Drosophila melanogaster: one gene and its partners. The protein of the gene in region 2 purifies or fractionates together with the protein of the main gene of each other region. This does not show direct contact. Each region holds a gene or a part of one and is shown on either strand. Other genes may lie near its edges.

Region 1 (5,019 bases), on a different chromosome or scaffold from region 2:
ACATCCATTGGATGTATCTATATTCAGGCATTTGTCCCGCATCATGTCGCTGCGTTTGCCGAGCTGAAAAGACATTTTCGAGAATTAATTTTAGAATATTCCGTCTTGCGTGTGCTTGGCGCTTTGTTTACACAGCGCTGCGGGGAAAACCGGGGGTCCGTTCGAAACACTTGTCTTTCATATATCTTGTGCAGTCCGCGATGCGATACAGGAAGTCCGCACATCGCTGTCAAAACTAAAGCCCCCAAATGCCAGCAATTGAAAGCGTTCGCTAATCAAAAATCTAAATCGGAATCAGCACAAAATCAGAAATCGGACAGAAGGCAGAAGGTGAAATCACTTGAGATGGGCATCTTCCGACAGATGCCCCTGCCACAAGGCACCCTGTACAGGCCCCGCTGGCTGTGATGCACTGCCTCCACTCGCACATCGAACGCTGGCCACGGCAAAGGAAAAAGGGAAAAAAACGAACGGAAAATAAAGGAAAAAAAAAGAAAAGCGCATGAAAAAGGAAAAGACGGCGTCAAATGCCGCCCGGCCAAATGGCCAGCCGGATCAGCCCAATGTATTCCACCCGATTCAGAGTTGTTTGCCCACAGAGGGTATCGATGAGATGTCTGGGCTTATTGGAAAAAAAATGTTGGAAAAAGGGAAATGCAACACGGGCTTATGGGGATAGTAAGTCCCTCTGATAGAGTGGACAAATTGGTTTGTAAATTAATTTTAAAATCTATCTAAATTCAAGTTTATAAGATATTTTTACTTCTTGAATAAACATTCTATAATTCTTATTGTAAAACTCTATTCTTACTATCAAAATCTCTTTTTTAGGTATTCCAAAGTCGGAAGATATCACTATCTTCATCCTTGGCTGCCTCTTTTTTCTGTCTATTGTTAAATCCACCCAAAATAGCTCCACGCACATTGACGAGAAGAGTGCGTGGGTCTTTGACGGGGAGTATGGAGAGTAGGGGGTATGCGGAGTAAGGGGAGTACAGACCATATGAGATGGCGAATGAGGAGTGTTGGCACTTCACGGCGGAGTTTCACATTCTGACGGGCCTCAGACGTCCGGCAGCCGCACTAATTGCATTCGCCTGGTCAAACGAAGAAATTGCAACAGGCGGACAATTAGCGAGCGAACTCATTCGCATTCAAATTTCACATTTGCTCAAAGAAAGAACAGAAATACTGCACTCAGAAAAATGGTTAACTCACTTCTTACTTCATTGCAGATATTTTGATATTTTATAGAACTCTGGAGTTCAATTTCGGAAGGATTAGGATACATGTGGGATCACAGCCTTGTACTTTTACTTTTTAACATACGAAATATTGTCAGATAGTTTCCTCTTTTTACCAAATAAAGCTTTCTAAATGTAAATCCAATTTGGTAGGATTTTCTCTCAGTGTAGAGGCACACAGTGTAGAAAAGATCGGAACGAAGGCAACAAAAAACTTTTGAAACGCGACGAAGATCAACGTTCAAAATTGAGCAGACGTCAGCAGCGGCAGCAGATCGGCAGAGAACTGAGAGTGAGAGTGGAGGAGAGAGTGTGGAGAATTGCTGGCGCTCTCCCGAGCGCTGGGGGTCTCGGGCCGTCCCGCTCGCACCTGCGGCTAACACATTGGGGGCCTCTGCCCCACTAGACCCTCCGGAACTCAGACCGTCTCGCTCTGCTCTCCGGCGTCGGTTCCGGTGGCAGACGGCAGAAGATTCTAACTAGAAGAATTAGAAGAAGCTAGGACGGAGGCAGCAAGTAGAAGACCCGTGATCGTGTAATTCGCCTCGTGTGCGTTCCGTTGTTCCGTAATTATTCCGGATTTGTTTTCGAAACAGGCTGAAGTGATGTGATGGGATTTCGATAGCTCCATCTTTCAACTTGTTTCGCTTTATCCGCCTTTTGTCACCACGGCTCTACGTTATTCCGTTGTCCCATTGTTCCGTTCTTCCGTAGTCCCATTGTTCCGTAATTCTCCGTTCTCCGTTGTTGTCGCGCCTTTCGTGGCCGCTGGTCGACGTTACGTTTTTACAGTTCGATAATCGAGCACTTCCCGAGAGGATCGAAGGCTCCAGGCATCTGCGTAAACCACGAAGGATCTACAGTACCTCTAAATATACCGCCCTTAGGTCGAAAACAAGTTACTAAAAAACCAGCGCGCCGTGAAATTCCTCTTGTTTATATAATAACCAGCGGCTGCCAAAAGCCCAGCGGAATATACAAAAAATATTCATTTTTCTAGCTCTGGTCGTTTGTATTTTTCAGGCTAAAAGAAAGAAAATAAGAAAGAAGAAAACCCAAGCAATTCTGCGTGTTATGTGTTATCGTTGTGATCAGTGATCCAGTGATCAAGTGAAAGTGAACACAAGAACGTGAGAGAAAGCCAAGTGAATCAGCTCGACTCCAATCGAAAAGGATATAAATCAGAGACAATGTCGGACATTGAGGATGTTTTCGGTGGCTCCGCCGAGGAGACCAAGCCCGAACCCGATGCCCAGAGCAAAACCAGCGTGGTCACCGAGCACACCGAGGAGGTGATTCCCGGCGAGACCGAGAAAATGGTAACGGAGACCATCGATGAGGATGGCGATGTCGTGGAGGAAACCACCGAAGTTACCCGCAAAACGGTGAAGCGCACCATGAAGATCACTGAGGTGAGTGAACTCTGACCCATGGATCCATCTAATAGCCGCCATTATCCATTAACTAACTTATTGTGCGTGTGCTGAGTACAAACATAATTCGAATAGCCATGAAAATCAATATGTATTCTGAATTTGAAAACCGTTCAAGAAGCTATAAAAATTCGGGAACTTGGGAAATTCTTAATGGAAACTATTTCCAAAAGCTTTAATGTTAAGTGCATATTCGCAATCAACTTAAAGAACAGTTCGTTAAAATTTATTAAGCATGGAAATTTTTATAAAAATATTTTCGATTCAAGTATTGTTTACCAAGCTTTTGGTGGGGGGATATATGCCGCAAAACAACATCTTGTTTTTGCATTGAATTTATATAAAAACATCGCATATTTTTGCGAAAGTAAATGACATTCCATTTTACATATTTCCGAAAATATTCTTACGGAACTACAAGTTTAAACCAAAGAATCCGCCCAAAACTGAATGATTTCCTCAATAGTTGGCCACCCCCGATCGTTTGGCTTATGAAAGACTATAAATCATTATTCTCATATTCTGAAGGGATCTTCTGCCGTACTGGTCTCCTCGCTTGTGAAATTGGCCAAAACATGGCGAACTCTGGCTATACATTATTTATACCAAGTGCCATTTCTCTATGTGCGTCTTAGCGAATTGTTTATACGGTCCCACGAATATTATAAATCTTCCCATACATTATACATCACACACACCGCGGCACAGATATAGACGGACATATAGGCGATTATATACACATATACATATGTATGTATATGTTCGGCCACACTTTCTATAGGCGACGTTGCCGGGGGAAAGCCAACAAAAAATACAAATTTTGCAGCTGTTTGATTTCGGCGCAAATTATCACAAAAGATTTCAAATGGCATGGCGTATAAAAAAAGCTGGGAATTAAATTATTATTAAGCAGAAATCACTTAAATACTCGATGCCGAGCTATGCCAAAAAATCCCCACACTCGAAGAGAAATGGCAAAAAAATTAAATGCAATAAATTCTGTGCCGCCAACAAATGCAGAGGCAAAAAAACAAGTATCAGACCAAAAAAAAAAAAAAACAAAAAAAACATCGAGAAGAAGGCGAAACAAAAAATAAATATTGAGGTTTCCGTGTCTTGCGGTCTGGCGCGCACTGGGCGAAAGTTGGGTGGTGCCGCATGGGGCGGGTGGTGCAAGTGGTGGGGCAGCAATTAATTGCCACAAATCGTTGCACAAAATTACAAATTGCATTTCCGGCTTGGCGCGGCGGCCACGCACTTCCACCCGTATTCCCCACTACCGCTACCCCACCCCAAACCCCGCAGAAAGTCTTCGATTTTCCCGCCGCTGTTTTACGACTGTCTGGCCCCCCTCGCCCCTCGCCGGGCGAAAAGCAAAACACCGCCCGTTTTTCTTTCGTCGAGTTTTATGGCAGCCAAATTAAATTTGCATTGCAATTTACTTCTTTTTGGGTCGGCCTCTCGGCCTTTTCTCGTTTTTCCGTTTTGCCGTTTTTATGGGCCCGAAATGGAAATGAAAACGCATGAGCTCAGCCAGCCGGAGTCCTGCGAATGGGGCAGGGATAAGGATGTGCTGCTGCCAGGGCATATGTTGCCATATACACAAAACAGGATCGTATGTGCCTCGCTCCGAGCAGCTTGCCGAACTAATTGCGCTGCCAAAGTCCGGTTTCCTTGCCGAAGCTCATGAACTGCTGAACTGCTGAACTGCCCAAGCCAGCTTTCCCCGCTCACTTTCTCCCGGCGGCATTTCCTGGGCGAAAGCGGCTAATGAGTCACGTACCGTTTTTGTCATTTTTATGCGCTTAACAGGTCAAAGTTCCAGCCGCAGGGATACGTGACCAAAGTCGAGTTTGAGTTGAAAATGCAAAATTAGTTAAATAAAGTCGGAGATACGCCGGGCACTTTCTCCACTCCCCATCCCCACTGCCTTTCGTTATCCTTAATTCGAGGCGAAGCGGAAAACTGTCATAAATTTCACAGTTGATTTCACCGTTGTTTCCTGATTTGATTAGCTCATTAAACGACGGTAATTTGTGCGGTGCGGGGTATGGTTCAAGCCTCTGTGTATTTGCTTATAAACTAAACAATAAATATTAAAGAGAATGACTAAATTGAATAAAATATTCATAGAATATTCATGATTGATTAGTTTCAACAAAATCGAACTCTCAATCTATTGTCACTGAAAATTCAACATCAAATACGCCCAATTTGCGATTATTAAATTATCTGATTATGCGCCATTTAATGCAAACATTATGGAAATGCACCACTATTTAATAAACACCCAAACGAGCGACTTTGCGGTCGGAAAGTTCGGCCATATTATTCCTGCCGAC
Region 2 (5,564 bases):
TTGAGTGACCAACTAGGAAGCCAAGGACCTCGGCGCACTCCTCTCATACCTCTTTTGTTTTTAGACGCATTCTTGCGGGCTATATTCAGTTCGTCCTCGATCTTGGCCTCCAGGAACTCCTGCTTTTTGATAAGCATGTTCTCCGTCTCGCGCAGCTTCTGTATCGCCTCGCCGGTGGTGGGGGCCACTTCCTTCTTGCCGCCGAACATCTTCCCGAAGAAACTCATCCTGGCTGATCTGTTTTTTCACCCGAATTTAGCGAACAAGTGAGTTTTTTTCTGCTATTGCGTTTCTTGGTTGTCTGGGAGCTGTTGTTCGTATGCGTCACCCGATACCGATTGCCGTCCCCTATCGTTATCGCCTTTGTGTATGCGCTTGGCGGAGTGGCATATTTCTCCCTTACGCAGCTGGCCACTCTGGTTAGCAAACGCCGAAAAATAAATAAATATATTCGGTGCATTTTCACATTTTGCACTGCTGCCAATAGATACCCGAATTTCTGGATTGAAAAGTCCTATTTGAGTTACGATTGACAAGGAACAAGGGTTCAACTGAAAATGGCCAACCGCACGGTGAAGGAGGCCAAAAACGTGCACGGCACCAATCCGCAGTACCTCATCGAGAAGATCATCCGTTCGAGGATATACGACTCTAAGTACTGGAAGGAGCAATGCTTTGCTCTCACTGCGGAGCTTCTGGTGGACAAGGCAATGGAGCTGCGATTCGTCGGAGGCGTCTACGGCGGCAACATCAAGCCCACCCAGTTCCTCTGCCTCACACTCAAGATGCTGCAGATTCAGCCGGAAAAGGACATCGTAGTGGAGTTTATCAAGAACGAGGAGTTCAAGTACGTTCGAGCATTGGGAGCCTTCTATCTACGGCTCACAGGAGCTGCCCTGGACTGCTACAAGTACCTGGAGCCGTTGTACATAGACAATCGAAAGCTGCGCCGCCAGAATCGCGCCGGCCAGTTCGAGATTGTCTACATGGATGAGTACATTGACGAACTGCTGCGCAACGACCGTGTCTGCGACATTATACTGCCCCGCATCCAGAAGCGCTCCATTCTCGAGGAAAACAACGAAATCGAGCCCAAGGTGTCAGTGCTGGATGAGGACTTGGACGACGAACTGCCCAGCGACGAGGAGAAGGCAGACGAGACCAACCGGCCTAAGGAGAATTCGACAGCAGTGAGACGACCACGGAGAGTTCGCTCCAAGTCAAGGTCCCGCAGTCGGGAGCGCGAGCGAAGATCTGGGCAGGGCAACAGCGCCCGTTCCCGGGATTACTACGACGAACTGGAAGACTACGACCGCCAGCGAAATAGGGTGCGCAATCGGGACACCCACAACGAGGACTATGACCGTCGGCAAAACAATGGACGCCACGATCGCGAACGAGAGCGCCAAGATCGCGACAGTATCAGGGAGCGCGAGAGGGACGGCGACAGAGATCGCCGGGATAGGGAACGAGAGCGAGAACGTGACCGTGGCCGTCACGACCAGCGGGAACGGGACTCGCGAGGAGAGCGTGACCGACGACGCTACTAAAATTATAAATAAATTGAATTAATTAACCAGTAAAAAGTGTCAGAAAATTTAAACCACAAACTCTCAATTCGCCGCAAGTTGGCATCCCTAGCACTAAGAATCGAAAATCGAAATCAAAACAATAACACAGAAGAAGAAGAAGTCAATCAGCTGTTGCTGCTTGCATTTAGAAAGTTTCGAATAGAGTAACGTTAACTGCGGGAGAATCCAGCCAGCTGTACTTGTGAAAATAATACACGTACCAGGGATTTAAGCAACAATAAATCCACGTTAATCAGCAGTAAAGCAGCTGAAGCTTTAGTATCTGAAAACTCTCCGTCGCGTTTGGAAGACTTTCAGGGAACTGCGCAGCGTTCTGGTGAATGAATTGTAAATTCCATTATCTCCGGTAGACTGGTGTAAGCCAGACGCATCCACGAGTTCCGTTCTCGATAGCGAGCAAGTAGGAACGGAACGGAACGGCAGTATGCCTCGCTCTGATACGGAGGCTTTGGTGGCCGATGTGGAGACTGGCGAAGATTCGGCACCACGCATACTGGACGCATCATCTGCGGCCAGCAGTGAGCAGGTGGACCCGCCTCCGGTACCGCCGCCTCATGACTACAGCAGCTATCGCTGGTTCATCCTGGAGCCCGCAGTTTTTTTAATCTTCTTCGCCAGAAATTTAATTGGTATAATGGCTATAGGGCAGTAAAACCGATTGGATTGCATCATTGAATTAACTTTGTGTGCGTTTTAGGGGCGGTTTATCAGAACCAAATTCTCTACCAAACCTGCATCACCATCGAGAAATTCAATGCCACGCAATGTGAACCGCTGCTGGGCATTGATCGCGGATCGGACGCGGATAAAGTAAGTATTTAATTTGACCCTTATAGTATACACATCATGTACAATTTGATATCTGTACTTTGTGTAGTTTCTGTTCTCGTTGCCTGGTTTTTATCTCTGTGCAAATTATTTTTGCTGCTTTGCTGGGCGTTTCGTGTTGTGATTTTATGGCGATGAGGAAAATGGCAATTTTAAACAAATTTATCCAGTAACTGTAAACAAAAACTGAAGTTTAAGTTACAAAAACTGCTGAACAATTTTAAAACCACAATTAATGTATCACAATATTAACTTGTTTTACGAGTAATTGCTACTATTATGACCTTTGCTGTATAGAACAATGTATTTCGCATTTGGCTCGCCGATATTCTTCCAAGACGTGACCTACTTAGTATATCTTACTATATCAGCATCCGACGTGACAAAGTAAAATCAAATTAGCAAATCGTCTCAACCTAATGCAAAACTGCCATTGTTTGGAGGCTAGAGATAAGGTAATTAGAACGCCAGTCGAGGCTTATCAACGGCCGGAATAGAAGTAAGCAAAATCCTTTGTTACTGCATTTCGAAGCAGTATCGAAGTATTTACTAGGAAAGCGTTAAAATTATAATTATACGTACGAGATATGGCACATTGACTCATCCACAGTTGTACAGTTGTGCAGTTTACTAAAGTGAACTTCTGTTTTTTCAGGAAGTCGAGGTGATAGTACAGACGTATTCTGCAAATATTATGATGACAACCTCTCTGCTAGAGAGCATTATTCCTGCCTTCGCGAGTCTGTTCCTGGGTCCCTGGTCCGACAAGTTCGGAAGGCGGCCAATCCTGCTGACAACTTTTACGGGTATATAATCATCAGTCAGGACATCTTAATTGCATCTTGTACAAATGACTCTTATTGTATTTAAAGGCTACCTCACTGGCGCACTCATACTGATAGTAATCACTTACATAACGAGGTCCACGAATATAAGTCCATGGTGGTTCCTCCTTTCCTCGGTTCCTTCCGTCGTAAGCGGCGGAACTTGCGCCTTGATTACTGGAATCTATTGCTACATATCCGATGTGGCCAAGGAGCGAAAGAAGGCTCTGAGGTGAGTATGGGTAGTCTTGATTTATTAATCCAAAGAATGCCATTTCATTTTGATATATTATTTGAAAGAATGGTCCTCAATGAAGCCTCCCTCTGTGCTGGCATAATGGTGGGCAATGTGGCCAGCGGTTATATCTATGCTGCCACAAATGCTCTGGTGTTGTTTTCCATTGCTGGTAGCCTGATGATGTTTGCCTTGATGTACGTGCTTCTGTTTGTACCTGAAAGCCTAAATCCAGGTGACATTCACACCGGAGTAAGTAATTTCTATAGCTAAGAAGAAACGAATATCTCAACACTCCTTCCCTCATTTTTAGTCGCGAGTCCGTGAGTTCTTCCGTTTCGATTTGGTCACGGACCTGATTCGCACCTGCTTTAAGAGGCGCCCCAACTTTGATCGCACAATCATCTGGCTTACAATGATTGCCCTTACGATAGCCATTTTCGACATGGGTAACATAATTCAAACTTAAGATTATATGAGTTAATTTATAATGATTTCAGAGGGAGAGAGCACTGTAAATTACATGTTCGTGCAGGATAAATTCAACTGGACCATTAAGGACTTCAGTCTATTCAACGCATCCCGCATCGTGATCCAGATTGTGGGCAGCATCGTTGGCATGTTGGTATTGCGCCGCGTTCTAAAGATGTCTATCGTAACCATGGCAATGCTCTCCCTGGCTTGCTGTGTTCTGGAGAGCACGGTTCGAGCCACAGCAGTCTACTGGCAAGAGCTGTATCTGGGCATGACGCTGGGTATGATGCGTGGCGTCATGGGACCTATGTGCCGCGCGATTCTCTCGCACGTTGCACCCGCGACTGAAGTTGGTACGTACCCAAAGTGTTTAGCCTGCAAATACCATTAACTAAAACCATATGAAATAATTTAGGCAAGATCTTTGCTCTGACCACCTCCATGGAATCGGTTTCGCCACTGGGCGCTGCACCTCTGTACACAACCGTCTACAAGGCAACTTTGGAAAATTATCCCGGAGCTTTCAACTTTATTAGCGCCGCTCTCTACTTTGTGTGTTACATTCTGATAGCGTAAGTCCTACCAAGCACAGTTCAAGTCCAGTTTAAAGCGAATACTTTTCAATACAGCGTGATCTTCGGCATCCAGAAGTCGATGGGTAGTAGCAGTGTCTACCAGGCCATTGGCAGCTAACAAACTCTCCAGAGCACCGATTTAGCTGAATGTATCTCATAAGTTAAATTCCTTCTGCAGGCGCTGCGAAGAGCTCTCGTTTTAAAAGATTAGAAACTATTTGTGTAAATTAATCTAGTGTTTGTACTCCTTGTATATTTTTGCAAGTATTATTATGATTTTGATCAGTGTATATGTATATATATACTATATCTGCTATTTGGACTGTGTTTTGCATGTGCAAGCATTGTAAAGTTAAGAACAAAAGATTTAACTGTTTGCAGTGTGACAATAAAGTGTGAATACATCGAGCATTCAATATCTTTGAGCATAAATCGAATGGGAATTGTGTGTCGCGATGTGAGGTTTCTCGAGAGGGAGCCGCTCGAGCGTTCGTGCGCAGATAGGGCGCAGCAAACGCTTTGGTTTGCTCAAATTGGCAATCGCTTGCTTTGTTTGTTTACGTCGTCTATTTCAGCTGCTCCCTCCAGTTAGTCTATCACTCGAGTTCGGCGCGCACAGATGTTTAACTCAGTTCCCGCTACGATATATTGCTTGGCTGAATGAATCGTTAATTCCTTTGTCTACACGATAATTGCTGCGATCACCGCGACCTTTACTGAACCACAAAATGCCGAGAGATGATGAGGAGCCAATTATTGGCGCTGATGATGAACCGCTGGACATCGAAGTGCGGTCGCCGCCACCCAGCAATAGGACATTCTCTAGCTGGCTAAAACGACCCCGCTCGCTTATTTTAGAGCCCGCCGTGTTTCTGGTTTTCTTTGGCAGATTCCTAACAGGTGTGTACATACATGTATGTGTTTACTGTGTTGTGGGGGCGTTTATAAATCAGATTGTTTACATCAGATGCCGTTTACCAGAACCAGATACTCTACCAGACCTGTGTCACGGTCATGAAATACAATGCTACCGAAT
Region 3 (8,047 bases), on a different chromosome or scaffold from region 2:
ATAGTTTAAAAGCTCTAAACCGGCGAATCATATTTACAGGTCATGGTTGCCTCGATGTCCTCCACCGTTCGCGGCACAATCGCAAAGTTCTCCACGCCAGTCTTCGTGATGAGCACATCGTCCTCGATGCGCACACCTCCGAAATTCCGGAAGCGATTGAACATCTCTGCGTTAATGAATTTAGCAATGTTCGGATCGGCCAGAGCGCGGTCCATCAGCCAGTTGATGAAGTAGCAGCCGGGTTCGATTGTGACATACATGCCGGCCTTAAGGATGCGGGCAAAGCGCAGCTTGCTCAGCCACGGTTCACTGGGGCGCTTGGGCTCCTTGGGCAGATAGCCGCCCACGTCGTGCACATCCAGACCGATCAAGTGGCCCAGGCCATGTGGCTGGAACACGCCCGAAACACCTGCCTCGAGCATCTCCTCCACATCGCCCTTGAGCATGCCGCCCTCCTTCAGGCGCTGCAGCAACACCCTGCCCGCCAGCTTGTGCATGTCCACCCAGGAGACTCCGTCACGGGCTGACTCTGTGACCGCATTGCGGGCATCCAGCACGGCATTGTAGATGAACTTCTGGTCGTCGGTGAACTTTCCATTGGCCGGGAATGTGCAGGTTATGTCGGCCGCATAGCCACAATAGTTGGCTCCCATATCGAACAGGCAGAGATCACCATCCTGGACGGGCTTGCTGTTGGGTGCGCCCGCGTGTCCATAGTGCAAGATCGACGAGTTCGTTCCGCTGCCGCATATGCAGGTGTAGGAGGCATGCCGGCAGCCGCCCACGGAGTAGGCGTGGTGCAGGAACAGGGATTCGCCCTCAAATTCCATTCTACCGGGACGCATAAACCGCATCACCTTGATGTGCGCGTCCGAGGATACCTTGGCCACGTAGCGCAGCACCTCGATCTCTTCGGGTGACTTGATCACTCGGCACTCAGAGAGAATTGGATACAGCAGATTGCAGTCAGTCACATACTTCTCCTTGCCAGCAAAGTCGGGCGGCTGAAGGGTGAGCCCGCTATCGCTGTTGGTGCCACTCAATGTGAGTATCAGCTTGGGCGACGCCCCCTCCAGATAAACACTCATTTCGTCAACATAAAACACCTCGTCCACCTCGTACATGGCCTTGAACTCCTGCAGCCCAAGCAGTTCGCCCATCCAGGTGCCGTACTCATCGGGAAAGCGAGGAACAAAGAGAACACTTTTCTGTGCACCAGTTTTCACATCAATGGTTAGGATGCCGTAGCAGCCCGGCTCCTTGACACCGAACAAGTACTGGAAATAGGACTCCTGCCGGAAAACGTAGTCCACGTCGGTGTTGTACAGGCTCTGGTCCTTGCCGCCCTCGAGGAGCACCAGCAGGTTGCCGTCGTTGAACTTGAGGCCCGGCAGCAGCTCCTTAAGGATGGCCTTGCCAGCACGATCCCTGTTGTTCCGGAAGAGGGTCATGGGCACTGCGTAACCCGATCCCATCTGAAAGGCGGCCATGGTGTTGCGACGGAGGACAAAGTTTAACTGGCGCTCTGGACAACAATGAGTGCTCGAGCAAGTGAGATTAGCTGATAATAGCCAATAACCGGGCTAACAAAGGCAGTAAATTATGTGGGTTTTATCAGTGTTTTTTGTTTTCTGTTTTCGCAAAAGTATGACCGAGAACTGAACGCGAAAAAAAACAAGCTTAAATTACAATTCATCGATCGGGAATTTTATTTTTTTAAATATATTCTTTAATATTTTTAATTAGCTCAATTCATTTATTTATCATACGGTTTTCCTTTTTGGCAGCCGACCTTGAAAATAAAGGATTTCCCTAAATAAACACAGATTAACATTTTGTTCAAATGAGCTAGCAATTGAAACTAGTTCCGCAGAGCGAGGCACAGAAACTATCGATAACCTACAGCATCGGCATCATTCCCAAGTCTGGTCACACTGGAAGTGGCTTTTTTTGCAAATTTTATTTTCATAATTGAGAAAAATTTGCATTTTAAAGCGAAACAGCAACGGATTAAGCTCTCGAATCTCAACAATATAACAGCCAGCTTGTGGGCGCAGCCAGCAGAGCATCACCAGTATTAAGTATAGGGCGAACGCAGCCCAGTGACCGTTTTCCACCTACTATCCAATTTCAATGTCGGCGTCACAACGCGGCGGATGCAACAACAAATGAGTCGTTGTTCTGTTCCAAGCTAATTAAGTACACGCTGTGTGGGCCGCCGACTCCAATGCGCCGCTAGCGGGGATCACGAGCAGTTGGCGTCATGTCCAGTTCGGTGTTTACGGAGGCGCCCAGCGCCCGGCCGGCGGCAGCCGAAGCCGACTCCAATCTGGTTGTGGTCTACAGCAAGAGCGGAATCTCCTTCGACGAGCGTGCGATTGGGAACATCATGGGTAAGTGGGTCCAATAGGCCTGACACACGCTCATTGCTCCCCACACTGACATGGGCTTGTTGCAGAGGAAAAATCGATTTCCACCATTAGCGTGGTGCGGATTACATCGCCCACGCCGAGCATGGTGGACCAAGAGGAAGACGAACGGCTGGAGGAGCTGGCGAACTTTATGGAAACTGCCACCGACTCGGAGCTGGACAGTGACAATGGCAGCCAAAGTGGTGGCGATAATGCCAGTGAGATGGATGAACACGACGAGGAGAACCATAACACCGGTGACGACAACAATAGCGACTCCACGGAGACGGAAGCCGATGCCCCGCGCACACGCAAGCGAGTTGGCCGAAAGCCCAAGGCCATCAAAAAGCGAAAGCGACGCAAACCCAAGGAGCGTCCACAAATTGTGGGTTTGCGAGTGGAGCAGTTTTATGCGGACAACACGGCTGATATGGTTGTGAAAAATGCACTGAGTAAATAACGTACATCGATGTGGTCCAAATGATAAAGCAAAACAACATCATTATTTCGAGCACAACGAAAGTAAACGAACTTTAGCTTTCAACTAATTTGTATTCTATTTACAGAGCTTGCCGGAGTTTCCGTCTACAAAAGGACTGCGGAGACAGACGCTCTTATGGAAGTTATTCGAAATGACCACAACTACACACCGTTTACCTCGCCAGAGCAGCTGAAGAACCACAAGCGCGATGAGAAGATGGCCATGGAAATGCAGGCCCAAAGCCGCAAAATCATAATGCAGGCACCGGGCAGTGTCAAGCTAATCAATGCCAAAAAACGAGTCCAGGCCATACCCTTAAGCCCGGTGCAGGTCAAGGTCCAGAGACTGCCAGTCAAGCCCCACCAAGTTCAGCAGGCAGCGCAGCTGCAACCGAAAGTGCAGCTGATCCGCAAGCCCATCCATTCGCCACTGCCAAGACAGAAGCCAGAGATTATCGCGAACAATTCGGTCAATGCCAGGCTGAGGCCCACTCGTGCTCCAGTCAAAGTGATTGCTCCGCCTGTGCAGGAATACATCGAAGATGATGATGACGCCCAAAGCTCGGATTCCGCCGAAGAGGAAAATGCCGACAAGGCCTATGATTCGGAGGAAATGAGTGAGGAGAGCGATGAGTTCCAGGAATCGGACAACGACAGGGACAGTGACATGGACTTCGATATGAGGCATAGCAATAGACGTAATCCGAATAAGAGGAAGCGGGTTAGAAAGGTGGTTAGGCAGACTCCCAGCAAACCAATGAAGCCGCTGCCTCCGCCACCCACAACGCCGCAGCACTTCCCCGAGCTGAAGAAACGCAAGGAAGTTTTGGAGCCGAAGGCGCCGCAAATTGGGCAAATAATCCAGATGCCTGCCACAAAATCAGTGCCCGCAGTGTTTGCCCTAGGCAGAGGTCTTCCAAGCACATCGTTTCTCAAAATCCGGCCCACACATCAATCGCTGCCTGTGAAGAGACCTCCACTGCCAACGACACCGGCCAATTCCAATGTTCGTCGTATGCCTGCCGTGCAATTGGGAAGGATCGTAAACTCGCCGCAGGAAGTTAAAGAGATTATTATCAACAAGAATATGGCCAGTCCCAAAGGAGTGTTTACCAATCTCAACACTTTGCTGGGTGAGGACAACAATGCAGCCACAAAATCTTCGCCAGTTCCACTCCGACACCGGGCCGTCATGTCGCCAAGCACGCCGAGATCGAGCTACAATCAGCAGATGTCGCCAATTGTGGTTCCGGTTCCTGCTCAGGCACATACCCCATCCAAGGGCTTCATGCCCATCGGCGTGGACACAGCTCAGTCGCATAAACTGCCCGCCCAAATAGTAATCGAGACGCACCAGAGTTCCTCCGAGCTGGCAGCAGAAAATGACAAGCAGCTCGATCTGATCAACTCGATTGTGCAGGACGAGCTACTTAAGTCCACGCTTGTGGAGCAGCCGGTAGTAAATGCGGACGAGGATATACCGAAACTGGTTAAGATGCTGGAGAGTACAGCGGCGGATCTAGATCCGCCACCAGTGTCCTTGCCTACGAATATTTTTCCAGCTCCCGAGATGCAGGGAGTGGGAAATGCAGCTGCAGCCGATCCGAATAATATAATGGATACGGCGAATGAGGATGAGATTACAGCTGATTTTCTCCAGCACGTGGTCGGTCTCATCGAGGAGGACAAACAGTTTGAGGCCGAGGTGGTTAAGCAAGTATTGGCTAGTACAGAGCCCGGAACCCTGGACGCCATCGTATCTATGCCTACGTCCATTGAGCCCGTAGACGTGCCGCAAGTACAGGCAAGTGTAGAATATCCTGGTTATTGATTTTGCTAGCTAACTGCATTGCTCCTTTACAGGCACACACGAACCTACTGCCGAATGCAAGTCTTACGGAGCCCGCACAATCGATGACCTCATTGCCGATTGCCTGCAGTACACCCTCGAGGAGCGTGGCAGCAAGCACTCCGCCCACCTCCGCGAAGGTTGTGCGCGGCTACGGTCGGGTCATATACCTGCCTCCCATTGAAGCCCCCACCACGCGGGCCAAGCGACGAGCACAGTTTCCTTCAGCTCCGGGCATGGCTGCGACCAGTTCCAGTGATGCAGGCAACCTGTCGTTTGGTGAATCTTCGTTGGATGCGAGCATCAATCAGCCGCTCAATACCAGCAGCCTGAGCAATGACAGCCAGCCGGGAAGTGGGCCGAAACGACCCAATCCTAGAGAGCCATCGATGGCCAGACGTTCAACGGCACCCAGAAGATCAAAGAAGCTTGATGCAAGTCAGAACAATGATCCCGACGCTTCAGAGTCTCAGGAGGATGACGATGACCCCAACAAGTAAGATTATAGTTGGATATTTCATAGATGCAAATCTGTGCGTTTGTTGAAAACCTTTTTTGTTTTTTTTTTTTTTTTTTTGGTTTAGGCTCTGGTGCATTTGTCGTCAGCCACACAACAATCGTTTCATGATCTGCTGCGATTTGTGCGAGGATTGGTTCCACGGCACATGCGTGGGGGTGACCAAGGCGATGGGCACAGATATGGAAAACAAGGGCATCGACTGGAAGTGCCCCAAATGCGTTAAAAGGCAGGAGGAGAGGGTAAAGTCATACAATAGACATAAAGTTACCTTTTATTGATTCGTTATCTTTGTAGAGCCAACCACGAATAACAGACATGTTGGTCACCAGACCAACCACTCAACCTGAGCAGAGGCCGAGTGAAACCAAAGTACTAACTACGACAGCAGAAATTGTTCAGGTCGCGGCTCCTTCGGCTCCCAGAAGAACACTACCGGTGGTCTTAACTGTAGCCAGTTCCCCCATGCGTATTCCAATGGCAAAGCCGGCCAAAAAGTTCCCAACCGGTGCAATCTCTCACCAGCAGCAGCAGCAGCTGAACTTTATCAGACTGGGCCCATCACCTGGCAAACGAATTTCGGAGACGTTATGTGTGGTCTGCAAGCGACCGGCGAGCACCTCTTCCGTCTATTGTGGCGAAGAGTGCATCCGGAAGTATGCCCAAAGTGCAATTCAAGCACATGCTGCTACCAAAGGCCCATTGCCACAGAATGCCGGTGCTCAGTCTTTGCTGAACAACTCCTTCGATGCCAAAAAGAACAAGAAGAAGGACTTGTTTGAGGACGTGCTGAGGCAAGCGGACACTGTGTCAAAAGTGGAACGGGTATGCAATAAAGGTTAATTTAATTAGAACTATACAACAAATAATGTGCACACTTTGCTTTGCAGATTAATGTGTTTGAGCGTAAAAGTGGTCGGGTTATCACCGGGCACATGGCCCCTTCTGCACATCAGTTTCGGAAATGGCTTCAGGAGAATCCCTCCTTCGAGGTGCTGCCCTCAGGAACCGTTCAGTCAGCCGACGCAGAGAAGCGTTTGCTGAAAGGGGCACCGGAAGCCGCCACCTCAACTTCAGAACCCGCCGTGCTAGGAGTTGCAAAAAAGCCACCTGAAGGTCCTGCCAAATTGTCCCATCCCCAAAACACCACAGTTCAGGCAAGCCACCAACTTGGAATCTCTTCCGTGCGTCCTTTGGCCAAAAAGGATAAAGAGAAGACAACACCTACAGTACAGGCGCCAACCCCTAATCGTATCGCAGCGGGCAAACCCGAGCCGGTTCGAATCGGCATCCGGCGATCACTCAGGGAGCAACTACTAGCGCGAATCAAAGAAGCTCAGGCTGCCGAGGAGAACTCTGGCCAGCCAACGACTCAGTGGCCGACCGTACTTGAGGTGGATCAGTTTGTCAAGAACGTGGAGCTGGAAATGTTCAACTCGTTTGGCCGAGACGTGGGAGCCAAGTACAAGGCCAAGTATCGATCGCTTATGTTCAACATAAAGGATCGCAAGAACCGAACGCTTTTCGAAAAGATTTGTGCCAAGCAAGTGGAGCCCAGGCAGTTGGTGCGGATGACGCCGGAACAGCTGGCCAGCCAAGAGTTGGCCAAGTGGCGGGAGGAGGAAAACCGTCACCAGTTGGATATGATCAAGAAATCGGAGCTGGACTTGTTGGCATGTGCCCAAAACTATGTGGTGAAAACACACAAGGGAGAGGAGGTAATCGCCACCAAAGTGGATGTTACGCTGCCCGAAGAGAACGTTAGTGAAGCATCATCTATGGCGGACACAAAACAGACGTCGCTGGTCAGTGAGCCGTCTACCTCCACACTGGAACGTTCCACGTCCAGGGAAAAGGCGGGTTCATCGAAGGAAAAGCGACACAAGAGCCACAAGCATCATCATCGAAAGCGCAGTCGAAGTCGTTCCAATAGTCGGGGTCGAAGCGTCGATAAGCGCCATCGCAGGCAGCACAACGAAGGAGGAGAGCAGCCAGGCAGCGGGGAGCGTGAGCATAGATCGCGTGAGAAACAGAGCCGGGAAAGGGATGAGATCGTTCCATCACCCTTGCCCAAGAAGAGGGACGAAAACGACCAATCGCCGGTACCCAAAAAGACGGCGGAAAAGAAAACCGAGGCGAGTGCTTACAACTTGGTTGATCAAATTCTGGAATCGGAGAAAACAGTCGAGCAGGCGGCGAATCTAGGCAAACCAAAGCCGTCACCCAAGCCACTTCCAACGCTTCCGAGTTCTTTGAAGGCACCTGAGCCAATGGACAACTACTCCCGCTACTTGCACGGCCTGACGACGAGTTCACTGTGGTCCGGTACTCTCAAGATGATCGATTTGGCCGACTTCGAAATCGTCATGTACCCCGTGCAGGGTAACTGCCATCAATTGGGTAACCTGATGCCAAGTCAGATGGACGTAATCGGTCGCATAACCCGCGTTAATGTCTGGGAATATATCAAGAAGCTAAAGAAGAGTCCCACAAAGGAAGTGGTCATTGTGAACATATTCCCCGCCTCGCCCAGCGAAACGTATAAGTTTGATCTCTTCTTCGAATACCTGGACTCGCGTCAGCGTCTGGGCGTCCTGGGCGTGGACTCGGATCAGATACGCGACTTTTACATATTCCCCTTGGGTAGCGGCGATAAGTTGCCACCAGCGCTGCAGACCGCGGAGCCAGTTCCCTTCTACGAAGAAGCGCAAAGACCCAACACGCTGCTCGGCATCATTGTGCGGTGTCTCAGCAAGCGACCTGCAGACGCTGTGCCATCGACTCCGTCTG

What was found.
Region 1: the proteins of CG30344 (region 2) and tmod purify together in Drosophila melanogaster (affinity purification with mass spectrometry, with the first as the bait; one large-scale study listed by BioGRID). This does not show direct contact.
Region 3: the proteins of CG30344 (region 2) and pps purify together in Drosophila melanogaster (affinity purification with mass spectrometry, with the first as the bait; one large-scale study listed by BioGRID). This does not show direct contact.

Annotation. Positions count from the first base shown.
Region 1 is NT_033777.3:30,530,852-30,535,870, forward strand, and holds the start of tmod (tropomodulin), read left to right. Parts: upstream 1-1,985; 5' UTR 1,986-2,131; exon of another isoform or gene 2,132-2,244; 5' UTR 2,245-2,434; coding exon 2,435-2,656; intron 2,657-5,019.
Region 2 is NT_033778.4:9,143,571-9,149,134, forward strand, and holds CG30344 (uncharacterized protein), read left to right. Parts: upstream 1-1,689; 5' UTR 1,690-2,016; coding exon 2,017-2,221; intron 2,222-2,289; coding exon 2,290-2,402; intron 2,403-3,075; coding exon 3,076-3,226; intron 3,227-3,292; coding exon 3,293-3,476; intron 3,477-3,544; coding exon 3,545-3,731; intron 3,732-3,792; coding exon 3,793-3,928; intron 3,929-3,979; coding exon 3,980-4,306; intron 4,307-4,368; coding exon 4,369-4,525; intron 4,526-4,582; coding exon 4,583-4,646; 3' UTR 4,647-4,942; downstream 4,943-5,564. Other genes in the region: shrb (shrub), read right to left, coding at 50-227; Prp38 (pre-mRNA processing factor 38), read left to right, coding at 558-1,550; CG30345 (uncharacterized protein), read left to right, coding at 5,257-5,428, 5,496-5,564.
Region 3 is NT_033777.3:12,411,894-12,419,940, forward strand, and holds the start of pps (protein partner of snf), read left to right. Parts: upstream 1-1,934; 5' UTR 1,935-2,263; coding exon 2,264-2,393; intron 2,394-2,458; coding exon 2,459-2,863; intron 2,864-2,977; coding exon 2,978-4,695; intron 4,696-4,754; coding exon 4,755-5,236; intron 5,237-5,324; coding exon 5,325-5,499; intron 5,500-5,554; coding exon 5,555-6,082; intron 6,083-6,147; coding exon 6,148-8,047. Other genes in the region: Dip-C (dipeptidase C), read right to left, coding at 15-1,490.